Linked DNA regions of Ovis aries. The protein of the gene in region 3 purifies or fractionates together with the protein of the main gene of each other region. This does not show direct contact. Links are inferred from orthologs where the notes say so. Each region holds a gene or a part of one and is shown on either strand. Other genes may lie near its edges.

Region 1 (4,610 bases), on a different chromosome or scaffold from region 3:
CACTGTGATAAACCCAAAATGGTCAGTGTGATTTTGAGGTGGAAGGAGATTAAGAAACCAGCCTGACAAAGCTTTTGTGTGACTGCGTTAGGGACATGGAGAAAGGTCTATTTGTAGGTAAGTGATCACCACATATCCTAAAGGGTCTTGTACCAGCCCCAAAGGTTCCAGAAGGCAACCCTGAAGAGCGTATGCTTGCCACACCTTGTTCCAACAGTTCATTAACTCTCCAGCTGCCCAATGAGGTACAAACTGTCCAGCAAGCTCTGGGAGGGACTGGATGCAGCTGGGACCCTAGGATTGACTGGGGGAGTGCGACTGTCCCAAGCTGGCTTGTTTCTGACCTAGTGTGGGGGTCCCTGGAGTGAGATTCAGCAGGGAAGGGCGGGGGTGCAGTGCCAGGCATATGAACTGGGTAATTTCACCATGGAAAAGGGTTGCAAAGTCCATCCCAGGAGGGGCTGAACTGAAGAGCTGAGATCCAGCTTATATAATAAAACTTGGCCATCTGCCTTTTCACAAGTATGGGACACAGACAGAAAGGAGGAAGAGATCCCCTTGCCCTGCTAATCAATACATCTGCTTGGATATGAGGCAAACTTCAGGACATCCAAAGAGGGTGTGAAGTAGTACCGTGTCTATCGCAAGCTCTCCTCCCCTCCCCCTGCCACGCCTCAGCAAATACAAGCAAATACAATACCTTCTGTAATACTTGGTCCCTAGGGCCAAGCGGCTCATGCTAACTACAGCCACAGCTTGACATCAGGCAACCCTTCACCCTGGCCCAGTCTAGGGACCTTAGAAGGGCCCTTCTTCGGCCTGGAGTGGGTGTAGGGTGGTGGTGCTAGGTGCTGTCTATTGCCCCACCACCCCTCGGGTTCAGTGATCCTCACTGGTGGCAGACAGACCAGAATCAGTGGTTCTGGCTCCACCCACCAGACCAGAAACTCTAATGCTCACAAATTCTTGGAGGCAGAGCTGGGAGGGCCCCTTGTGATCATCTGCTCGAACCCCTTGGTTTTCTAGGTGAAGTACTGAGGCCCAGAGACGGAAAGGAACTTGCCCAAAGTCACACAGCAGTGAGCATCAAAGGTCAGAGAAAAACAGTTAACTTTTAACACTTTCTGCCTCATCGTCTGCCTGCCCCGTTGCCCTGGAAGTATGCCCCATGTCCTAATCACACCAACATCAGCCCATGGGTACTGTACACCCATGACAGTGGGAATCACTGTGTGTGTGTGTGTGTGTGAGTGTGTGTGTATTGGCGGGGGGTGGTCATCAGCTCCCCAAGGAAACAAAAGAGTCCCTCTTCCTTTTAGGTAAGGACAACTCAGTGGACCTTGCTACCTTCTATGGAAGGACCCCCTTTGACTGTGGGCACGGTGGTCTCAGGGGCTCTCTTCCAGTCCAGCCCTGGAGACCTGCAAGGGCAGGAAGACATTGGTGGCCTCAATCGTTCTGGCCCTTCAGTCTTGCTTCCCACCAGATCGCTGATCCCTCTTAAGGAAGGGAGCTGGGCAGACTCTCATCTTCTCACCCCACCCCCATCTCATAGTCACCCTTCAGGACACCTCCTCAAGACCTTGGTGCTTTCCGAAGGCCCCTCCCTTCTCTCTGTCGCACTCTGTGCATATCTGCGGATGACACACAGGCAAGATACAGGCAGCTAGGATATTACATCCTGATGATACTGACATAGACTCGGGCTACTTCACACGACTTGCCTTAGACTAGGTAACTGCAGGTAAGAAAGTCAGCCCAACTGCTTTGCTCCATTCCTGGGGTCTACAAACCTTCACCAAGGTCACTGTCAGTCACAGAGGGACGGGGGCAGGGACGAGGGAGGAAGAAGACAGGTGTTTGGTGGGTCCGAACTTCGAGCAAAACTGTGTGGAAAATCTATCCATGGGCCTGTCCCCTCCCAACCAGAGGAGGGTGGCCTTCAAAGCGGTCATGTTTTAGCTGCCAGAACTGTATTCATCACCCGGGACAGTGGCCTCATCCTCTCACGTGTCTTGAGCCTCCATCCCCACCCCGCCAAGCCCTTGTGCCCCATCTTCCCCTTTCTGCTCCCCATCCCAAGTCAAATTCTAAGGCCAGAGCCGTGCTGGCCTGTCTAGGGGTCAACAGGAAAAGAGGAGGGATGGAGAAGTGATGCGGTGAGAGGGTGAGGGTGTTGCCTGTGGCCCAGTTGGCATGGTGATGGGGGCCAATCCTGAGGCCAGGGGTTCCCATCGTGACCTGGAAGACCGCTGGGCCCCCTGGTAGAAACTGGAAGAACAAAGGGGAGGGGGAGTCAGGACAGGAAGAAGACGAACAAGCATCCTAGCGCATGAGAGTGGACCTGGAGCTGCCCGGAGGGAGGGCGGCTCCAGTCTATCTGTCGTTGAGCCGCGGAGAGCCGGTACCATCCTCCTCTTCCTCCTTGTCATCCTTCATGCCTTTTAGTCTCTGGCGGGCAAAGTCCTCAAACACAATGTCGTCATCGCTGGTGGGAAAGACAAGGAAAACAGGCGTGTTTGCAGGGCAGGGAGAGGAGGTTTACTCAGAGGGGTCGGAGGGCCTGCACAGCCCAGCAGGACCCAGAGGCCGGCCTCTGGGACTGGTCTTGGATAGAAAGGCCTGCCAGGCCAGCACATCTGGATGCCCATCAATGACAGTGGGACCAGCCAGTTGCAGAAATACCAGAGGGAGGCCTGAGTTTGCTAAGGGCTGGAAATCGACCCAGCTCTTGAGAAGCTGGGGTTCAGGCACACATCAAATTGTGGGTGGGGGCGGGGAGTGAGGCAGGGTTAGGGCCAGAGGAGGAACTTATTTCCACAAAGAGGCCAGGCCGACAGCAGTTTCACAGCATATTCTGAGTCCCCCAAGAACACGCCCCCACCCAAGAACTACCCTCAGGAAGCATTCCTGTTTTCTGAGAAAACCCCAAAGGCCCTTTCTCCAAGGAAATGTCAGCTCACATTCTACCCTGAGGGATATTGGATACACAGGGTCTGTGGGGGCTGGGGTGGGGGCTAGGCAAAGCCCAATAAGGGTGGGGAGCAGAAAAAATATGAGTGGAGAAAGAGGGTGCCTGAGAGGGGTTCCAGAGGGGCTGCCTCTAAGAACAGTGAGCTCCCTTCTACTAATAAAACATGTCCACATGGGCCCACTCTCCAGGCCCCAGCCCCACAGAATTCAGCCAACTGCACGGGGTATCCTCCATGGGCTGACTTAAGACCCGACACATCTCCTAGAGGACAAAGGAAGCATAGATTTGGAGCTGGAGCGAGAAAGCTGCTTGGACCTGGAGGTGGTTCATGTTTGCCCAGGTCCTCCCCTCTGGCCACTGTCCTGTGAGGTGACAGCCTTTGACCACAGGGCCATCCATACTGGTCCTCACGAGTCAGAAACAAGAAGATCCCCAGAACCTTCCCCACCCCACAGCCTGATTCCACTGGCTGGACACCAGCCAAGTAGGAGGGTCCCAGCCCAGGGCCACAAACCAGCCCTGTGACAGCCGAGCAGGTGCTGTGGATGGACGAATGGACTGACGGACTGACGGACGTGCAAGGACGAGGGAGGAAGACAGACCCCACCAAGGCAGGAGGAAGAGGAACAGGCACCGAGGGTCCTTCAAGTCACATGCAGGCAAGCGGGTTGCTGAAGAGGCGAGCAGAGGCAGCTCTCAGCAGATGGGTTAGACCACTGCTCCTCGGGGTTAATTAGCATAAATGCATATAACCAGGCAGCCCCGCCCACCTCCCAAGGCCCACCCCGCCCATGTCTGCAGGCAGGGTTCTGCTTACTTGGTGTCAAGTTCTATGAGATTGGTATCTACTGGCGTCTCGTGCTCTGGAACTAAACACAGGGCAGATGACCGCCCACGGGTTACTGGCGAGTGAGTGAGGGGGCAGGTGGGCACAGGTCCTCACCCCGGGACAACTAAGCTAAGGTAGGGGAGGGAAAGGAAAAAGCGGGAGTGAGGAAGCCAGGGCTGGTCCCTGGTCTCAGAAACACCTCAAATCAGCTTAAATGCAGGGAGGAGGGTCCAGGGAGAGCCAAGGAGGGCCAGGGAGCAGCACCAGGGGAAGGGAAAATCTCTGGACCCTGCTCTTTTTGGCATGTCTCCAACACAACTGAGATTCCTTTGTTGCATGCCTGACTCACTAACTCTAATATAACTATTTACTCACATTTTCACATCTCTGAACTTGCGGTTTGTTTTACAGTCATTGGCATGTCATAGTTTAATTATGGGGACATTTTTCTTTCTTTGTAGTACGTGCTACAATGTCTCTTTTGACTGAAACAGTCTTAGGTTTAATGAAATATGACCAATCTGGTATCACTTGGAAATATCACCGGGATGGTGTGCCCAGATATCATCCTATCCATGCAGACCATTCAACTGTCCCTGGATGCGCGAGACAAGGGCTCCTGACATGGCCCTTCCCACCACCCTCACCACCCCCAGCCCACAGAGAACAGAGCCAGACCTTTCTGTCTACTGGGGAGTCAGATACAAATAGGAGTGTGGGCCTCACAAAAGATCCTGTGAACTGGGGAAGAGGGGTGACCCTGGGCTGAAGGCTGACTCAGTGAGAGGCGGGGTGACAGGGAAACCC
Region 2 (4,610 bases), on a different chromosome or scaffold from region 3:
GGGTCACCCAGGCCCCCTCAGCTGGGTCTGGTTGCCCCCCACAAAACGTAGGGGCCAGTGCTCACCCATCCTACCTCCCCCAGAGCAAGTGTGGAAGCTGAGGCTGGTGAGGGCCGGGGTCTCGAGGTGGAAGCCTAAGTCTTGCCACACAGCTGCCACACCTGGGGGTCTCACCTTGGGGTATCAGCAACTCCCACAGGCCCCACCAGCCACCCCGCTGAGGTGAAACCTATCATCCAAATGGACACGGTGGGGCCAGTCAGAAAGGGGTGGAGAGGGCTGAGCAGGAGACTCCCTCTAGAAGGAAATTCGGGGTCTGGGGAGGCCTCATTCCTGATGGAGCAGGACACAGCTAAGGTGCCTGAGCCTGGCTGTTTCCTCTGGGCATGACCTGGGCACCCCACTTACGGCCATGTAGGGTTTGCAGCCAGCATCCATTGTCTTAGCCACAGAATCCACCAAGTAACCACTGATCCCAAAGTCACACATCTTCACGTGGCCCTCCTTGTTGATAAGGACATTGGATGGCTTCACATCTGCCAGAAGTAGGACACGCCTTTCAGCTACTGGTTGTTGGCCCCCACTGCCCAGGTCAGAGCTGGTAGCCACACAGTCAGGAGCCCCAGCCTCCAGCCACAGGTGGGGAGAGAAGTTAGCTCCAGGGCTTCCCCCAGGACCGTGTCTTTGCAGCTTCACAGTTGGGACTCAGCCTCCACTTACCAGTGCAACCTCTGGCTCTGGGGTCCACCCAAATGCAGGGAACCCATCACTAACAGTATGAGCACTGTAAACCACCCAATATCCACCTTGAGGGGTCGGCAGTCTTGGCCAGGAAGCACAAGGCAACAGCTCAAACACGGGAGGCAGGTCTGTGGGAAATCCCAGAGCCCCAGGACTCAAGCTGGACATGGAGTGGGCACAGAGTGAGCTAGGGGGCACAGCGGGGCCGTCCAGCAAGCACACGCACGGGAGACATGTGCATCCCTCCTGCCTTTTACAAGGACATCTGCAGGGGCTCAGAGAGACGCCCAAAGGGGCCACGAAAACCTGCCAATAGCAGTGACCTGGGGACCACTCAGTGGTCAAAGGGGCTTAGCCCAGTGAACTCTGTGTGGAAAAGCAGACCCCTCAGAACACAGAGGGAGGGGACAGGCAGGACACACACAGCCCCACTGAGTCTCAGAATCATTGGCCCAACTGGGAGGCTGAGAACAAGCAAAACCAACCCCCATGAGAAAATCAGTGGAGTCGGGGACTGGGGCGTCACAGGGCAAGAAAGGGAGGGGAGGGTGGGCGTGACCCAGTATAAACGATGATCGGATTCGTGCAGCAGTACACATCCCACCTGCACACTCCTCAACACGTAAACAATACGTCAAGACAAGATGGGCTGGCCTTCCCAGGATGAAGATCAACCCTGTCCGTGCTCTGAGCACCAGGGAACAAAACTGGGACTGGGCCTGGGGGCTGACAGAAATGGCTGAGAGGAGTGGACAGCGGCCTGGACCCAGCGGGCACATTGCGGCCTGTCGCCTCCCAGAGCCTTGGCACTGGTCCCGGCAGGACCATGGGGACGTGTACGTGAGGCCAGGCCCCTCCTCCCCAGCCAGTCCAGGCACTGACCTCTATGGATCACGGACAGCTTGCTGTGCAGATGTTCCAGGGCCCTCACGATCTGGTGTTTGGGATGAGAGGTGGAGAGAGACAGGTCCATCAACAGTGACAGAGCCAGAAGGCTCCCCAGCCAGGGCGGTCTGTCGCCCTCTCCCAGGTCACACCCAGCCCCTCACCACCTGAGGCTCCCGCCCACATCCCAGCCTTTGCTGTAATGTCCTGGCCACCCTGATACTGATACACCTGGTTCCTGCACTGCTCTGAATGGGCCAGGGTCTCAGGTGATGTGACCAAGACCCTGGCGAGTCTGACTTATGAACCCCCAGAATGCTGTCCCTCCCTCCACCAGACTCCTGGGTAGAATCTGGCCCTTCTGCAGCGGGCTTGCATCCACCGCCCCCTCCCCTACCAGCAGTCACTGGGCTACATGCTCAGAGCCACTCCCCACAGGAATCACCCCAAAGATCCTGACTCAACGCCCTGGGCGGGGGGGGTATGTTTACATGTTCACAGCTGCGGTCAGGGATGAGGACCACAGGTACACAGACCCCATTCCCCTTCTGCTTTGGCTGTTGGGTGCTCATGCCCAGGGAGCCGCCTGCCCTAGGACATGCAAGCTCAAGACCCGTGGTTTTCTCCCCTGACCACATGCCTCTGCGAGCTGCCTCCAAGCATCTTCAGGATAAGGAAGCTGTGAACACTAAGTTCTCTTCTGTGGCCTCAAAACTCAGGAACTGCACAGGAAGGCCCAGAGATCCTGGTTCTGCCAAATCGGTGTGGCTCCAGGGCCCTGGGGTCTCCTGAGCAGGCTCTGGTCCAGGGTGGGGGCACCTGGGGCTTCCAAGGGCAACTGCCCAGCTGCAGGGCCACAGCTGGAGGCCACACGGGGGGCCCAGCTCTGCCCAAAACACTACCATTGGGACCCCCCCAACCCCACTTACAGACACAGCGATCTCCCCAAGAATGTCTTCTGGAATCGTCATGCCCTTGTCTAGCACCTTCCGATAGAACTTGTCCAGGGACGTGTCCATGAGCTCCATGCAGATCCACACATCTCCCTGCAGGTAGATAGCCATAGTTCAGCCACATCTGCCCAGGGCTACCTGGCCCAGCATCCTCCCCATGGAGCCAGCCAGCCCCTGACACACCTCCACCCCTCAGCCCTCAGGGGTTCTCTGACCTCCCAGCCCCTCCCCGACAAGGCTCGCCTACACTGCTGGGTCCACGCGGCAGCCTTCCCCGACTGTCACACTGGCTGTCCCCCATCAGACTCCTACTTCCACGGCTCATCCCAGCTCTGACCCTGGCCGATGGGTCCCTTCACCGGCAACATACTGTCCCCACCCCCACACCCCATCCAGGACAGCCTTCTGAGAAGGCTGGGTGCAGCATCCCCTGGGGTAAGCCCGAGCTCCTGGGCTCCCTGCCAGAGGGGAGGCTGGCTGTGTCTCCTCACCTCTCTAAAGAGGGCCCCGTAGAAGGTGACGGTATAGAAACAGTCCACTGTGCGCATGTTGACATCCAGGTCCATGAGCAGGCGCTTCTGCTCCTGAGAGTTCACGGTGGCTCGGATGCGCTGCGGGGGGAGGGGCTGCGGTTAGAGCCCGGGCCGCAGGGGTGCAGCCCCAGGTGCCCCCGGCTCTGATGGCCCTGGGTCGGGGACACTGCTCACCTTCACGGCCATGATGGTGCCACTCTGGGCATGCCGCACCTTCTCCACCACCCCATAGGCACCTCGGCCCAGCTCTGAAATGGTCACCAGGTCATCCGCCTCCACCTCAAAGTTCTTAGGGGACAGAAAGGAGAGAGGGTTCAGAAGGGCCAAGTCAGGCACCAGTGGAGATGCTGGGGCAGCAGAAAGAGAATCACCAGCCAGTCACCTGTGCTCAAGTCTTGCACCAGCCACTTCTGCTGTGTGTCCTGGGGTAAGTCATGTAACCTCTCTGAGCCTCCCCTCACCTTCTCTAAAACAGGCACAGCACCCACATCAGAAGGCTACTACAGGGTGTCAGCACATCAGCCTGGGAAACACTCTCAGCGGTGCTGGGCCCTAAAGAGATGCCCTTTTCCTCTCGCCCCACCCTCTTAGGTGGCCAGACTCACTTATTCATCACCTACAGTGTGTAAGTCCCTGTTTCAGGCTCTGAGGACACAGACAGGACAAAAGAAAGGCCTTGTCTCCCAGGGAGCAGCGGGGCCCTGGTCGCCCACCCTCCCTCTTGACCTGCTGCCAGAGGAAGCAAGCAGGCAGATGAACAAGACTCGTCAGCATGTCCTGTGGGCAGCACACGGCCTCCCAGGGGAACCACTGGCGTCGGGAGGTGCCAGTGAAATGCAGGCCCTTTGGGCAGAGCCAGGGATCTGCACACTGAGCACCGTGACTCTAGCTCCCCAGGGCCCAGGAGGTAGCCACCAGATGGGCCACCTGGTCAGCGTCGGGGAGCCAGCCCCCCTCCACAGCCCAGCTCTGTCTCCACCCACAGACACCTCCCAGGGTCTATTGACACCTACCCTGTCTCCAATGGTGATGAAAGCCCGGGAGTCCAGGTTCCGGGGGAGCCTGCAGGGGAGAGCGGAGGTGTGAGCCCCAGAGAGCTCTGCCCTCTCAAGGGGGTCCCCGCCCTCCCCCACAGTCACCAAGCATCTGCGGGGCAGCACATGGCCTGTCACATGGACATGCCCTCAGAAAGGCAAGGAGAGCTCCGAGAGGACATGTGAGGCACACAGCCCCCGCAGCTGCTTGGAGAAGATGCCGCCCGCACAGGCGGCCTGGCCCCCACAGTGGCCCCTGCAGGAGGCCTTCCAGGAAGCACCAGAGGCCAACTCACGTGGGGCTGGGCGCCGGCGGCTTGGACATGCAGGAGATTCGTAAATCCTTTTTCCTCCTGGACTTTCCTAAAAGGGAGAGAAGGGAGCGTGCAGTCAATCACTGGTCAACCAACATCCCCAGGGACAGAGAGGGACAGGCCCCAAGGGCCCGGCACTGACACAGATGC
Region 3 (5,357 bases):
GGCCTGTTTTTGTAAGGCCTGCAAGCTAGGAATGGTTTTTCTATTTTTTACATGGTTAAGAAAAAAAAAGAAAAATCAAAAGAATATCACTTTGTGAATAATATGAGATATAAATTTCATAAATCTGACAACATCCATTAACCAAATTTTGTTGGAATACAGCCATGATGATTTATTTAGGTCCTCTTTATGGCTCCGCTTGAGTAACACCTGCAGAGCCGAGGAGGTGTGAGAGACACCTCCAGCGAAATCTACAACGTTTATGCCATCTGGCCCTTTACAGAGGACAAGCAAGTGCTCTCTTAGAAATCAGAAGTCGAGTTCTACTACTGTTCACCTTGGCCTCCCTCAGTTTAGAAAACAAAACCGATACCATTTTCATTCTGCCACATCTTCAACGTTTTCTTGCTGAATGAGAGACCTGAGGGTTCATGTCACAGGCAGGGGTGAAACTGGGGCCTGCCTAGTTGAGCTCACCAGTGGGATGGGACAGAGCTGGCCCGGAAACACTGGTCTCCCTAAAATGTGCCCTCCTCCCCACTATTCCACAAAGCACACAATGGCTCACAGGGTCCCTGCCAGCTCTCTACCATGAGTTTGACGTTTCCCTCTCTTAATTCTGAGAATAAATCAGTCCAGCTAAATGGACGTAGCAAGGGTGAAGCCGGACCTTTTAGAGTCAGGCACTCAAAGTGGGACCCTCCATTGACCAGTTATTATCCATGACCTTGAACCAGTGATGGAGCCCTTGGTTTTCTCATCTAAGAAGATAGCTAAGTACTACTTCCCTCATAGGCTTGTTTGGAGTATTAAATGAGATACATTTCAAATGTCTGGTACCTTCTAATCTTTCTCTCTCCCTTTCCCAGAGATAGTATTTGGAGAATAAACATTACATGAACCTTGTTAGGAAAGTCTTTCAAATTAGCTTAAAGATTATTTTATAAAAAAAATACCCAATCTATCAAAACAATAAAAATAGGTTTAGCATTTCATTGGGTGTTTTCCTCATATATCTTTCAGTTCTTTGAAGCTTTTTCCAAATTATAATTCAAAAATAAAAATGCTGTAATTTTTAGAAATGTTATATTTATGTAATTTTTACAGCAAGTCACACAAAGAACCGAGCTAAACTATGTTCTACCCATGTCCAGTTATGAAGACTAAGATGGTAAAATACACCAGAACCAGAAAATCCTAGTTTATTTAATCTGGCTTCCTTAACATGAAGTTCTTGTTCTTAAAATATTCAGTTTTGGCTGAATTCCAAGACTGACATAAGCCTTCTTCAGGTGTTCTGAAAAGACTGAAGAGAATCAGAACTGGAAACAAGATTGGAATATAAAACCTTCTATGTGATCACAATGCAAGAAACTTATTGTCTGAAAGCACCATTAAATCAAATTTTATGCCCACACTTATTAAAAAAAATGTATATATTCTCAACATTGGTTGTACAGGGTGCTAAAGGTTAATTTCAGTAACATGCTTTTATCTCTAACATTTGCTAGCAGATAGCAAATTGCTTCAGTCACTTGAATCGCAGTGACACTTTCTGAAATCTGTAATAGGCTGAAAAGATTTTTTTTCGTGAATTACTCTAGCAGTCACTTTAATGGGCACACTTTAATGGCCAACCTAACTTAGTTACTAAAACTGCATATCAGCGTTTTACATAATGTTAAATTATCTACTTGCCAGCCCATCGGGGTATATGGAGTCATAAAAAACATACTCTGCTCTTTTTCACCAAAATTCCAACAGAGATATCTCGCAAGTTTAGTGTCAAGTTACAAAAGTTGCTTTTCAAAGTAATTACTTGACAATTCAAATTGGTAAGAGATGGGAAATCAAGCCACTAAACTTCAGGGAAAGGGAGTTGGGAAGATCGTGACATAACATGCAAATTCACACAGATCCACTCTGCGTGCAGCTGGCTGCGTGGCAGAAGTCAGAATTTTTGTACTCTCAAAAGTACACGGAAAAAAATGAGGACATCTTCTAAAACAGGCACAGGTATATATAGAAGGAAAATGTGGGCCAAATCTAACAGAAGAGAAACCAAAACACTGAATAGGGCAGGGCTGACTGGGACAAGTAACTCGCACTGCAGGCGAACAGAAGTTCTTCAAGAGGACCACACGCACCCCTGGATTCCCAGAGCGGGCCGGCGGCCGGGGGGTCAGATTCTCTGCCACAAGCTGCGAGCGAGCCGAGCAGTCACGCAGCGCCGCTCACTGCCCCTAAGGTGGGGCAAGAAGTAAATAAGTAAGATGCTCGATTGCTGCCCAGAAACTGATCGATTTTTTCTACGGGAGCAGGGGGGTGGGGGTGGGAAACAACAGCTTTCCCCCTGCGGTGGCCCCCGACCGCGGAGGCTGGGGCCCTGCATTGTAAAGTCGCACGCACCTGCATTGTAAAATCGGTCCAGCACCGCAGTTTCTCCAAAGTCCAGTTTCCCAAAATGCAGGGTCTCCAGGGCGGCGCCCACCGTCTCGCACGCCTCCCGCAGGCACTGCAGGGCCTCGCTCTCGGCCACCACCAGCTGCCCCTGGCTCGCCTCGTTGATGACATAGGCCACCGTGGTCCGTCGGCCGCCTCCGCCCCCAGAGTTGCCCCGGCACCGGGTGGCGCTGCTCCCAGCGGTGGCACTGGGACACCCGGCGCCGGGAGCGGCGGCACTTTCCACGTTCCAGAAGCTGCCCGGTGGCGGCGGTGGCAGCTGGGTCTCCTCGCCCTCGGCCGCCGTCGCCGCTCCTCCCCTCCGGTAGCTGCCGCCCTCGGCGAAGGGCGGCACGGAGAAAGTGATGCCCTCGCCCGCCTCCGCGCTCATCTCTCCCGGCCGGACTGCCGCGGCGGCGTCTCCCGCCCAGCCGCACCGTCTGGCCAGCCACAGTTCGGGGCTGCTCCGTGCGCGCCTTGCTAAGCAGCTGCCATCCCGCGTTGCGCCTTCCGCGCCGCGCCGCCGCCTCCTCTCCGGCGCCCTCTCCCCCGAAGGGACGCCGCTGCCCGGCGGCGGCTCGCCCCTCCTCGGCGCCTCCGTGGCCGCGCCGCTCGCCCGCTGCAGGGTGTAGAGTACAAGGGGTGGGGAGCCGGGCTGAGCGGGAAGGGACAGGGCTTCCTTTTCTTGGCCGGCGGACAAGTCGGCTCGCGAACCTGCTAGGCGGTGCGGCTCAAGGGCGCCGCTCTCCGGGTGCGGTGCGCCCTGGCCACCCGGGAACGCGGTCCCGGCTCCTTCCGTGCCGGGCACCCTGGGAGGGGCCGGGGAGGGCGCCCTCTGGGTGGGGAGCTACCTGGCCAGCACCTCGCGGGCGGGCAGACTCCCTGGACCGCGTCCCGGAACAGCGGCAGCAGCCGCCGAAGGGATCCGCCTCCTTCCTCGGCGGCAGCTCCCCTTCATCGGCTCTGTTTCCTCCTCCTGCCCCGGCCCCGTTCTCTTCCGATTGCCGCGGCCGCTTCGTCCCCGGCACCAGCCTGGTAGCTCGAGTCTCCCCGCTCCTTGAAGCCGCTCGCCCGGTCCGCCACCGGCTTTTTGCCGCCCACTCGTCGCGGCACCGAAAGTCTGGGCCCGCCCCGGGGGAGGGCGCTGCTGGGAAGCTCGAGTCCGGACGAAACCGACCGCGTCGCGGCTCCCGGACCACGGCCCAGCCCGGAGCACCGCGCGAGGCCAAGGTTCTCCTCCGTCACCCACTGGGCTCCCCACCCAAGACAACCTGGAGTAGGCAAAAGCCCGGAGAGCAGGCGACTATAGGATGGCACAAAAAAAGTCTCTCTTGCGAATACTCGGGTCTTAGCCAGCGCCAGGAGGCACGCGCCACGTTCCCCGTAACCACGGCGCCCTCCTCCGGCCGGTGCCGGCCTAGCACCGCCGTGCGGTCGGGTCCCATGTGCGCGCCGGGAGCAAGAGGGTAGCGTGGGGAGGCCCGCGTGGCGCTAGGCCCGAGGATTTTAACTACGGTCCTGCAGGCGGCCTCAACTGGAGAGTGGTGTATTGGTGACAGTGGCTCTGCGGGAGTGGCAGGCTGAATTTATCGGGTCTGCCCCTGGTACTTTACGTTTTCAAGTTTTCAATAGCTCTGCTGTCGTGAATCGGAGAAGGCGATGGCACCCCACTCCAGTACTCTTGCCTGGAAAATCCCATGGGCGGAGGAGCCTGGTAGGCTGCAGTCCATGGGGTCGCGAAGAGTCGGACACGACTGAGCGACCTCGCTTTTACTTTTCACTTTCATGCATTGGAGAAGGCAATGGCAACCCACCCCAGTGTTCTTGCCTGGAGAATCCCAGGGACGGGGGAGCCTGGTGGGCTGCCGTCTATGGGGTCGCACAGAGTTGGACACGACTTAGCAGCAGCAGCAGCAGCTGTCGTGAATAATTGATTAGCTCCGAGTGCTGAACGGTATAGTATTTGCATTCCCATTTGAGTTTATAAAATTTCCCCCAACGCACCGTATACTTACTTGAGTTAGAAAACCGGTTCTATCCTGGACTTGGCAAATCATCTATCTGCCAGATGAAAGAGGGAAATTAAGCAATTACTTCAATTTTTTTTAATTGCACTAGGGGTGGGGCTGGGGAGCGGGGAATGCCTGGCTTGCTTAAGAGCAATCAAAGAGTATCTACTTACTTGGGAAGTAAAAACATATGTGCAAGTTCTCAGAGAACTTCTCCAGAATGCTATAACTTTAGGAGAATCAGTGGAACCTACAGTGAAATAAAGTAATAGGTTTGGACTTTGCATCTCCAGGAAGCGAGATGATTAAGTTCTATGAAAAAGGTAGAAGAATACTGCAAATTACATGCAAGCTAGGCGGGAAGGGGTGCTTCCCTGCTGGGTCAGTGGTGAAGAATCCATCTGCCAGTGCCTGAGTGGTGGGTTCTGTCCCTGAGTGGGTAAGAAGGAAATGTCAACCCACTCCAGTATTCTTGCCTGAGAAATCCCATGGACAGAGGAGCTTGGCAAGCTACAGTCCATGGGGTTGCAAGTATCAGATGACTAAACAACAGGGGGAAAGGAGGGATAAAATAGTTAAGTAGGAAGGGGTTAAAAGAAGAAAGGAAATAATGAGGGGAAACACCTAGCAACTGAACAATTGTATCTGCACAACTGTATCCTCAATGAAGCCAAGTGACCTTAGCTTTTTCTAAAGATTTGTAAAATAATGGAAGTAAACTTCTGGTAAGGAAATTGCAATCTATGTGATCCACATCTGCTTTTGAACTTGATACCATAGGAAAATAGATATTTAACGAATTGCTGATCATACAGAAGCAAAACATGGGTGGATTACTAATAAATATATATCCTTTAATATTTCCAACACCTTGTCAAACCTCCAAACTTCTGTGAAAGTATACAA

What was found.
Region 1: the proteins of MAP3K5 (region 3) and ARRB1 purify together in Homo sapiens (affinity purification with western blotting; 3 studies listed by BioGRID and IntAct, with this or other methods). This does not show direct contact. The link is inferred for Ovis aries from reciprocal best matches to the Homo sapiens genes MAP3K5 and ARRB1.
Region 2: the proteins of MAP3K5 (region 3) and MAP2K3 purify together in Homo sapiens (co-immunoprecipitation; 4 studies listed by BioGRID and IntAct, with this or other methods). This does not show direct contact. The link is inferred for Ovis aries from reciprocal best matches to the Homo sapiens genes MAP3K5 and MAP2K3.

The regions. Positions count from the first base shown.
Region 1 is NC_056068.1:53,204,741-53,209,350, forward strand, and holds part of ARRB1 (beta-arrestin-1), read right to left. Parts: intron 3,844-4,610; coding exon 3,792-3,843; intron 2,489-3,791; coding exon 2,377-2,488; 3' UTR 1-2,376. UniProt on the Homo sapiens protein: Functions in regulating agonist-mediated G-protein coupled receptor (GPCR) signaling by mediating both receptor desensitization and resensitization processes.
Region 2 is NC_056064.1:35,006,427-35,011,036, reverse strand, and holds part of MAP2K3 (dual specificity mitogen-activated protein kinase kinase 3), read right to left. Parts: intron 4,510-4,610; coding exon 4,443-4,509; intron 4,175-4,442; coding exon 4,126-4,174; intron 3,401-4,125; coding exon 3,287-3,400; intron 3,191-3,286; coding exon 3,071-3,190; intron 2,673-3,070; coding exon 2,556-2,672; intron 1,676-2,555; coding exon 1,624-1,675; intron 537-1,623; coding exon 409-536; intron 1-408. UniProt on the Homo sapiens protein: Dual specificity kinase. Is activated by cytokines and environmental stress in vivo. Catalyzes the concomitant phosphorylation of a threonine and a tyrosine residue in the MAP kinase p38.
Region 3 is NC_056061.1:62,061,245-62,066,601, forward strand, and holds the start of MAP3K5 (mitogen-activated protein kinase kinase kinase 5), read right to left. Parts: upstream 3,080-5,357; 5' UTR 2,834-3,079; coding exon 2,410-2,833; exon of another isoform or gene 1-2,409. UniProt on the Homo sapiens protein: Serine/threonine kinase which acts as an essential component of the MAP kinase signal transduction pathway. Plays an important role in the cascades of cellular responses evoked by changes in the environment.